2 separate regions of the Mus musculus genome follow, and region 2 is reported to be linked to region 1. Evidence: microRNA targets listed by miRTarBase, many of them from high-throughput screens and not tested one by one. Region 1 holds a microRNA gene; the other region holds the end of a gene's coding sequence.
The links. Region 1 holds the annotated microRNA mmu-miR-682 (CUGCAGUCACAGUGAAGUCUG, at 1,761-1,781, shown strand). A microRNA usually pairs through its seed, bases 2 to 8, with sites in the 3' UTR of a target mRNA and lowers its output. Matches are read on the target gene's strand: a 7mer-m8 pairs with bases 2 to 8, a 7mer-A1 pairs with bases 2 to 7 and ends in A, and an 8mer does both.

Region 2: the mRNA of Ptpre is a reported target of mmu-miR-682. Seed matches in the 3' UTR shown: 7mer-A1 at 3,275-3,281.

What each region holds. Positions count from the first base shown.
Region 1 is chr13:75,643,359-75,648,433 of GRCm38, forward strand. Mir682 (microRNA 682) reads left to right here and starts at 1,688; the gene lies at 1,688-1,783. It also overlaps the pseudogene Gm4149.
Region 2 is chr7:135,682,965-135,688,034 of GRCm38, forward strand. Ptpre (protein tyrosine phosphatase, receptor type, E) reads left to right here. Exons shown (of 21, transcript NM_011212.3): 21 at 268-3,330. The coding sequence ends at 342. Among named protein-coding and RNA genes, the nearest start is that of Mki67, 31 kb to the right of the region's middle.

The DNA.
Region 1 (5,075 bases):
GCCACGGGTTACTGGATTCCAGAAAGGAAAACTAGGAATGGATGGGGAGGATGGCAAAAGAAATAATGAGCCAAGACAAAATTCTCTGATCAAGGCTCAATGTTTATTTCTAAGGTCTGAAATTTAAAGGGGGGAGAACACATCCCCCACTTTGCCAGGATCTCATTGCTTTACCATGATCTTGTCAGGAAGACAAGCTCAGCTGCTCAGAAGGTACTGGCTTCTTGCAGGAAGCTGCAAATGTGGCAGGACAATAGACTTCACCTAAGTCGGAAGACTCCACCCTAGGTGGGCTAGCTGACTATGGCAAAACAAGGTCTGAACTAGCCTGCCTAAGTCTGAGGAAAAGGCACAGTTCCTCCCTTTTTATTTATTAAAAATTAGCTGGACTAGAGCATAAGATTTACTTATGCTCCATGGTCCTGCCTGGGAATTAAGGTAGCTGGCAACCACACCTGGCTTGGGACTAAACTATACTTTCTTTTACCCATCCTGGAGCACATGCACAGCTTGTTTGTGTTTATTTGCATAAATACAAACTTTTAGTGTTTATTATGAACAAACACTGCCTCTTGACACATGCCTCTGTGTTAGGTTAATAAAAGTCATAGAACATCAGTGGCCCATCTTTGACTGCCAGCCCTCATAGCACACCTTTTTTGCATTCAGACTAAAGTCACAATATGCATTTCTTCATAACGATGAATAACTGCCATAACTGAGCTTTGTTGAAGGCCAGCCTGTATGGAGGTAACCAATCTGCTTAAAATACAAAGTCAAAAGTTAAAAGTAATAGGATTAAGGTTGTCTGTGGAAGAATGTGCCAAGCACTCAATTCAATTGTAAATTAGCAATGATCAGACACAAGGCCTCCACTCCCAGTGTTGGGGAGGTGGCTTTGAGAATCAACAGAAAAAACTGTTACTTCTCAGGTAATGGTGGAGGCTATGCTCCAAATTAATTCAGCTGACTGATAAAGATTTCTAGCCAGCTTCATAATTGGAATCAAACTTACTAGAAGACTCAGAATCTGTGTCTTCTTGACAAACTAATCTTTCAGGCAGTCATTGGGCTCTGTCTTCTCTTTTGTGAAAAAATAGACAGAACCTCGCCCCCATATTAAAACAGAGTCAGGACCATTCCATGTATTAGTTAGGGGGTCCTGCCATTTAACCATGGCATATGAGCTGGAAGTGACTGGATGCCAATGACGATCCACTGCAGCCTGACCTTTAGCATCAGTTTGCAAAAAAATTAAAACAAATAAGACAGAGGCAAGATGTGCTTTTGGTGACCTTGAAGATTATAAGACCCCCTTTTTATTTTTAAAGAAGATATTGTTTTAAAGTTCACCAATACCTTGTCCTTGAGAATTATAAGGAATCCCAGTAATATGGGTAACGTTAAATTGTTGACAAAACATCTCAAATGCTTGACTGTAATAGCCAGTTCCATTATCTGTTTTAATCTGATTTGGAACATCAAGCATAAAAAATATTGCAGGAGCTCTTCGGACTTGGGCTTGGGTTCCGGCGACATGGCTAAACGCACCAAGAAGGTCGGCATCGTCGGCAAGTACGGGACCCGCTATGGTGCCTCCCTCCGGAAAATGGTGAAGAAAATTGAAATCAGCCAGCACGCCAAGTACACTTGCTCCTTCTGTGGCAAGACCAAGATGAAGAGACGAGCCGTCGGCATCTGGCACTGTGGTTCCTGCATGAAAACAGTGGCCGGCGGGGCCTGGACCTACAACACCACCTCTGCAGTCACAGTGAAGTCTGCCATCAGAAGACTGAAGGAACTGAAAGACCAGTAGAAGCCCTGCTGTCTGAGACTTGCCTAGCCTGCAATAAACGGGTTATTTACGTAAAAAAAAAAAAAAAAAAAAAAATATTGCAGGAAATGACTAATTGCAGTTGCAACTAGAAAGCCTGGAAAGGTGTCAATAATCATATGTACATATTTTATTTTTCTAAAATCAGAAATATGAGTGTCCATTTGCAATAATTGATTAAATATAAGTCATCAAGAATTAACATCATTATGTGGAACATGTAGAAATTGAGGACACTGAGAATAAGTTTACAATTTGACATGCACATTCTCTAAAAATACCAAATTATTATCTCAAGCCATTACTATCTTGATGATGTAAAGAGTGAGATTATATGTACAATTATTCCTATGTAAGACCTATACTCTGTGTGGGATAAAAATATGCTGTGGTATTGCCTTAAGTGGTCTGGTCCAGGCAGTCATTGATAAGCTCTTAAATGTCTAAAGGCAGTCTTTTAAAGGAACAGTACTTTCTCTTGAGTTGTATATGCATAAAGAATTGCAATTTTTGAAAATTAGCAGTATCTAGAAAAGGAACAATTTCAAGCAATTGTAAGCCCTGATTATATATATATATAATAAATATATATATAGGCTATCTGAATACAAATAAAAAACTAGATTTCAACACTTTAAAAACAGTGACTACAGCAATTATTTCCATTATTTGTGCTGAAGTATCCAATCACATATACTTCTCTCCCATACAAGGGCTGTTTATAAATACAGTAGATGCATTCTTTATGGCATGCATACATAAATTTACAGGAAATGCAAAAGCATGCATAAAGCAAATTTTAACAACTTATCTTTTGGATAATGATTATCAATTTCGCCTAAAATGTTTGCTATGCAATAGGCCAAATATCAGTATTCTTTAATAACCAATTTAATTGCTGATTGAAACAAGGAATAGATGTCTCATCAGGTTTCTAAAGGCATCCTTTCCAAAATACTTTCTTGATTCTATCCTACAATTCTTTATTAACACCACAGCAGCTTCATAGTAGGATTTTAAACTTTACTTGGAGATGAAGAAGGATGGATGAATCAACATTAACGCTCTCTTTTGCCAAAGAATTGCTGTGGGCACATTGCGTAGCAATAACTAAAATAAGCAGCTAACAATTGATTTAAAAAGCTTCCTCTACTTTCTGCAAAGCTATTTGTCTCTCACCAGTTAATTTGCATCCCCCCCCCCCTTGACAACATTCAACAAAGGCTTAAGTCCTCCTGTTTTGAGCTTAAGGTGAGGTCTTAGCCAATTAACATCTCCTAGAAGCTTTTGAAAATAACTTGAAGTAAGCAAATCATCTTTTCCTTCTTGAATTTTCTGTGCCATACCTTTTCTAGGATATAACTGAGGCCCCAAATATTGAAAAAGATATTGCCTCAAAATCTTCCTGGAGCAACAACTATCCCCAAAACTTTAAAGTTAGTTGTATAAAGAGCTAAGGTAGTAAAATTCCCCTTCAGAAGGATTATCTAATAAAATACTCTCCACATAATAAACAATATACACCGAAAGATTCAAGGTCCTAACTTCTTATATTGAAGCAGAGACATTTTTTGTTTGTTTGTTTTATAATGTAAGGCTATTAGCCATTCCTAGAGGCAAAACTTTCCAATGATAACAAACTCACTAGAAGCAAATCCTTTACAATTATCAGGATGCGGAGGAAAAAACAACCTTCCAAATCTATAATAATTCTATTTGGAGTAGGCAGGCCAGATTGTAATGCTTCTACAAGTTCCACAGCCTCACTGACTTTTCATAAATCTTAATTTTAAACTTTATTTTGAACAACACCTGAATAGATCTGTAATAATGCTGTTTTAGCTTAAAAATAATTCCTCAGAAGTGAGGGGAGGTGAGGCCCCAAAAACTTCCCTAGGCAGGGTTTGGAAATCAAAAGAAAGGCCACACAAGCCTGCTGAGGCTGCTCTGCGCTTCATATTAACTCAAATGTAAATATTTCTTAATCTGAGCCTACTACCTGAGTCCTGGCCCAAAGATTACTGCTCCTGCAGTGAGGACAGATTCCAGGGGAACAATTCTACTCCCTGTCTATGCCTCTAACTTTTGGACAGTCTTTCCTAAAATGATTTATATTTAAAGCATTCCTTATAACCTTGTCACTGTGAAAGCATTACTTGTACTGTAGTCCCCTACAAGGCAGCAACCAGAGCCAAACCCCATTTGTATGAGGGTCCAATTTCTGCACAAAGATGAATATATTCAGTTAAATCTGCCTTTGCTTTATATAGCCAGATGGCTGCAGAGAGCTATATTAGCATTCTCATAAGACAATTGTGTAACAAAAGAATCCCTGCTTGAGGGTCTCTGAAAATTCTATAAGCTGTTTTTATAGCCTATCCACAAACTCCTTGAAACAGTTCATCAGGAACCTGTTTGATACCAAATAAATTCTCACTGAGATCTCCTTTCCAACCTTGGAGGGTTAAATTTTGCATCTACCACTGTATCCAATAAAGCTTGTGTAAAAGGAGCTGCACGCAGACCCATGCTGGCCACAGCTGGTTTTTAACTTTTATTACTCTTGTAGTCATCCTAATTACAAAGTATGGGTGAGTTAAGAATCCTGAGCTTGTGATCAAACTACAAACTGCAGCCAGTGGAATGCTGGCAATTTAACCATAATTTTTAAGTTTCTTTTACAATATTAGAACATAACCATAACTTTTAGAAAGCAAAACACAATTTTAAACAATCCATTCTCTTTAAAATCAATATCAAAAGCATCACTTTCACCTTATGAAATTTGGCTGCCAATTCTTACATATGAATGCATGACAGTGCAAGTTTTAATGCTTCATTAAAGAGACATTGTTTTGCTCCAAGCACTGTGGTTAAATAACATCATCTCAATTTTTTATTATCCTTTAAAGATATTGCATTTTCATATTCTTTATTTATAAAGGATCAGTGCTGCTGTAAATACTGGTATTTTTAATGTTTTAATTTCATTCCACCACCATCAGATGCAGTTCCCTGTTTTGTTTAGTTAAGGGACATAAGCTTTCTCATGGTGTCTTCAGAGATTTATAAATGTAAATATTGATTTGGCTGGTCTTTATGATGTGTTTAACTGTGAGGCTATTTAAATAGTGTGGATGTGACTTGTCATCCAGTATTAAGTTCTTAGTTACTGGTTTTTGTGTTTCAAAAAATAAGAAAGAGAGAAGCTGCAGTTTTCGTTGTAGGCTCCCTGGCTGAT
Region 2 (5,070 bases), not on the chromosome of region 1:
CCAAAGACCATACTGAAAACACACTAGTGTGAACCTAAAAATTGATGTTTTCTGCATGGACAAACAGCTTGGTTTAGAACATGGCTCATGCCTAAAAGGCCCGCTGTGTAACAGAAACTGATGTGTGGGAGGGAGCCCCGGACTTTGATGCATCAGCAGACTGACTGACAACTGGGCTTCTAGCTCATCTTCTGATTACATGCATCAGGTATGTGTGAAGCTGCTTAGTATTAATATATTACTAATATACTCTCATTCTCTTTTCAGGAGCAATATGAATTCTGCTACAAAGTGGTACAAGATTTTATCGATATATTTTCTGATTATGCTAATTTCAAATGAAGATTCCTGCCTTAAAATATTTTTTAATTTAATGGTCAGTATATTTTGTAAAAAAAAAAAAAGAGATCATGTTAATTTATTTCCTAGTGGATATTAATATCCTTCCTAATTCCTTTGTATATATTTTGTTATGTTCTAAAGGCTACCTGCTGTAAGGTTATTAAATTGTAAATGCCCTTTTTAAAAATTGGAATAACATGTTAAGGTCAAATACTATCTGGAAAGATATATATTTCTGCTAACACCAGTCAGTATCTTAGTTCTATTAGATTCATGTTATGTGGTGTCCCACATCAGGTGTCACATGGTGTCACACATCATGCATCTGTAAATGTAGTTCTTAACATGTCAAATGTGTTTGTGAGAAGACACTAACCCCTGAAACCCCCTGTGGAGAAACCAGTAGAGGACTCCGAGTCAGAGCACATTTACTCTCCCCACCAACTGTCGCACCCAGGGCATCGGAATGTGGCAAACAGTGTGCATGGGGGCTTTGGTAGAGTCCTGGGTCTCAGCCATGTGGTCCATCCTTGCATTTGAAAGATCAGAGTGGAAGCAGACACGGCAGTGCATCACTGCACTGCTAGCACGTGGGAGGCTGGGGCATAAGGATTTGGTCCAGGTCAGGCCAGGCCAGCTTGGGCTACAGTGAGACTCTGTAACACAACAAACAACAAACACCCAGAGGGTTTTGAAACCCAAATCCAGGTCTCAGATGTACAAGGTGTAGATGGTGGTGACTTTCCTATGAGTTTTAAAAGGCATTCATGAGAGGCTGTGTAGTGCCACTGTAGGCTTGATAAAGAGATGTGTTATACCAGGCCATCTATTCTCACAGGCCTCCAGTACCCTCCAAACTAGCCATCTGAGCTGTGTTCCTGGAACCACTTGCTGCCTGCCTGTGTGCCTGGCTCAGAATCCACTCAAGCTCATTCCCAACGGCCCGCCCACTGACACAGCTGCCTGTACTGACCCTAATTGGGCCTACAGGCTCAACCACAGCTGCACACACACACACACACACACACACACACGGTAGAATGGCCACAAACTGTTGCACTGTCAATTTGCTGATACTCAACCACAGCTGCACACACACACACACACACACACACACACACACACACACACACACACACACACACGGTAGAATGGCCACAAACTGTTGCACTGTCAATTTGCTGATAGCCATTTCAGGATGTCAGATTTTCTTTGTAAAAAGTTAAGATGGTTTGTAAGAAAGGAATTCTTAAAAATCTAGATTTGTACAGTTTTTTTCTTAAATGTCCCACCTCTTGGTGTTTAATTTTTAAAAATGAGAGGGGGGGAAGATCCTAATCTAACTTACCTTTGGAGGAAAGGCTGCTGAGACCTCTGAGTTCAGGTGGCAGTGACAGGCGCACTGCCTGAGAGGGTAGGTTAGGAGGAGGGAGAGGAGGAGGAGGAATGTAGAAACATTGACTTCAATAAAAATTATCTTCCTATGGCATTTAGATACCTAGCAAATGAGCACAATGTAAAAAAAAAAAAAAAAAGACATCTGGTCTAACTCATTGAAGGCTTTGAACACAGTTTGGGAACTTTTTTTTTAAACTTTTTAAAAGAGAAATGAAAATACAAAGGCCTTATCTCCATGGAGGACTGATCATGCTCGCCTATTGCACAGTTTGTTCTTGTTCGTGTACAAGGGACAACCCCAGGGTCTGTCACTGCTTCATACAGGTGAACGGGTCACCACGCTTATCTCAAGCCCCGCAGCTCTGAGTGTCCCATCCAGAGGCACAAGCTGGCACTCAGCATGCAGGATGAAAGCAGACAGTGGCCACTGTCACCACCACCACCAGCTGCAGGCAGGGCTGGCTGCCTGTGCTTTGTGGGAGCTCCCCTTCTCTGAGCAGCCTTGGAGCACAGGCAGAAGATGGAAGATGGAGGAGCTTTCCCTGGCCAGTGGTCTCATTTGTCTCCATCTTAGACCCAAGCTCAACGCCTTGCTGTAACTGAAGCGGGACAGAGGGCAGTAAGCCCACTAGAATTAAGGTGACCTCACATGGGTCCCAAGCCAAAGTTCGGCCACGCACCTTGGCACCCCAACTTAGTTACTGGTCCTTAGAATCCCAGGCATCTCTTGTATCAAGAAATGCCTTAGGGTAGATCTTTTCAGGATGTCTAGAAAAGTATTCTAATGAGTGTTTTTCCTCACCTTGGGGCTGCCCCAGGTTCTCCTGCAGGCAGAGACCCTGCCTGTTTCTAAACAGCTTGTCTCATTCCAGAGAAAAACAGAAGCCACGCTCCTGTGGGCACAGTTGGGGCAGCACTTGTACTTTGGAGGGGCCAATCCCTCTAGTCTCTTGACTAATGCCATAGCAAAATTCAGCCTCCGTAAGACACAGAGCCTCTGTGTACAAGGGGTCTCCTAGGGGGAGGAGGGCGGTCTCAGCATCTTCTCTGTGTACCTGGCATGTCCTTTTCTTCTTCCTTCAAAGAAGCTCCGGTGTTTATGACACCGACAACCTTCTTAGTTCTCTGTTGCATGCGGTTGTGCTCAACGCCAAACAGTCATCAGAGCTGAGCGTTCTGATCAGGTGCGTCTCTTGGTCACTGTGTGACTTGCTTTACTCTCTCTCCATGGGCTGGATGAACGAGGAATGCACACCTGTGTTTTCCAAGGTAGTTTTATGTGTTTTTAAAACCTTTTTAAATGAGCCTGATACCTGTGTTTCAGCATTTGGCCACGTTGTTGGTTTTTGTTTTTCATGTATATTTACTGATATATTTTTGTTTGTAACCAAGTCATGTTTAATTTATGTGCAATCTTTATAATATGTGTATGTGTTATGGTTCCAACTCTCATATATTATTCCTTGATCACATTTATCGTTTGATCTTGCTCTGATTATGCCAGTGTATGTCGCTGAATTCTTGAGACATGTGAACTGCAAGATTGAAAACATCCGGATTCGAGAATAAATCTCTGACTACCAGCCTGTACCTGTGCTTCTGTCTTCCCATTTAAGTGTGTGTGTGTGTGTGTGTGTGTGTGTGTGTGCACAGAAACATGTGGAGGCCATAGGACAATGGTGAGTGTCAGCTTTAGGAATACTGCCCACCCTCTTTAAGAAAGGGATTTTCACTGGTCCGCAGCTGACCAACTGGGCAAGGCTGGCCAGCCAGTGAGCACCAGAGATTTTCTTATCTGAACTCCCCAGTGCTAGGATTACAGAAGTGTGACACTATTCCCATTTTCTTTATGAGGATTTGGGAGACTGAACTTGGTCCTCATGCTCACAAGCCAAACACTTTACCAAACAAACTATTCCAGTCCCACTGGAGGTCTTTAAAATGTAGGTCTGAGCCGGGCGGTGGTGGCGCACGCCTTTAATCCCAGCACTTGGGAGGCAGAGGCAGGCGGATTTCTGAGTTCAAGGCCAGCCTGGTCTACAAAGTGAGGTTCAAGACAGCCAGGGCTAAACAGAGAAAACCTGTCTCGGGGAAAAACAAAAACAAAAAACAATAAATAAATAAATAAAATAAAATGTAGGTCTGACTTGGCCCAGAAACAGCTTCTAAGGGGAGGTGAGCGCTGGAGCCAAAGAGGCATTAGGTCTTAATGGTCTATGGTAGGCAGGTATCATACAAGAGGCACAGACTTTGACTACCAGTTCAAAGAGTTCATGTTCTGTCAGGGTCCAGGGAGGACCAAGCCTGGAAAGCTGAGAAATTAGCTGTGATGAAGAGCCCGGAATGACTGAGGTGGAATCTTTGTCTGAGTCCTGGCCTGGAAGTTCCCTGTTCAGGACATCATATAAAATCTAGTGCTGAGACTTCGGTGCTCCAAATCTTCCTTCTACCTTCTCAGTGGAGAAAGCCCTCATGACCCAGCTTGACTCCAAGCACTGGCCAAAGGCTACAGGAGCTGCAAGCAGTATTCTATTCTGTTCATCTTAACTACCCTGAGATGGAGCACTGAGAACATCATTCTATAGACCAGAAAACTGCCTGTTAAAGATTTGCCCCAAGTCACATTGCAATCATCAGGCAAGCTGAGATTACATGCTATTAAACTAAATCAGTTTAGTCAAGGGGATGAAAATTGCATTTAGGATGCTGTAGTGGCTATTCCCAGCTGTCAACTTGACTATATTTGGAATGAACTACAATCCAGAATTGGAAGGCTCACCAGTGACCCTAATCTGGAGGCTGGGAGATGGAAGTTTCTGATCTGGATCTTGGTATGGAGATCTTGAGGCATAGTGGCTATGGATTCCAGAAGATTAAGACAGGGAGATCTCTGAGTTCAAGGTCATCTGGGATTAAAGGTGTGGTGGGACAGACCTTTAATCTGGGCTACACCTTCTGCTGGAGACCATATAAGGACATTGGAAGAAGGGAGTCTGGCTCTTGCTCCTTCGCCTGCTTGCCGTGTGGGACTGAGTAACTGCTAGATCTTTGGACTTCCATTCACAGCTTCTACTGAACCATTGTTGGGAATTGGACTACTATAAATCATCAATAAATTCCTTTACTATATAGAGACTATTCCTAAGTTCTGTGACTCTAGAGAACCCTGACTAATACAGATGCCGATTCTCACTAGGTGCCTAGATGCTGCTGACAACTAAGGACCTGCCGTTCCTAACCCGGGACAGTGGCTGCAGTGGAGAGGCCAGGAAGCTTCTTGGAGCTAAGTTCATCATTCCAATGAATACAATTGATGAAGTGCGGGGCTGG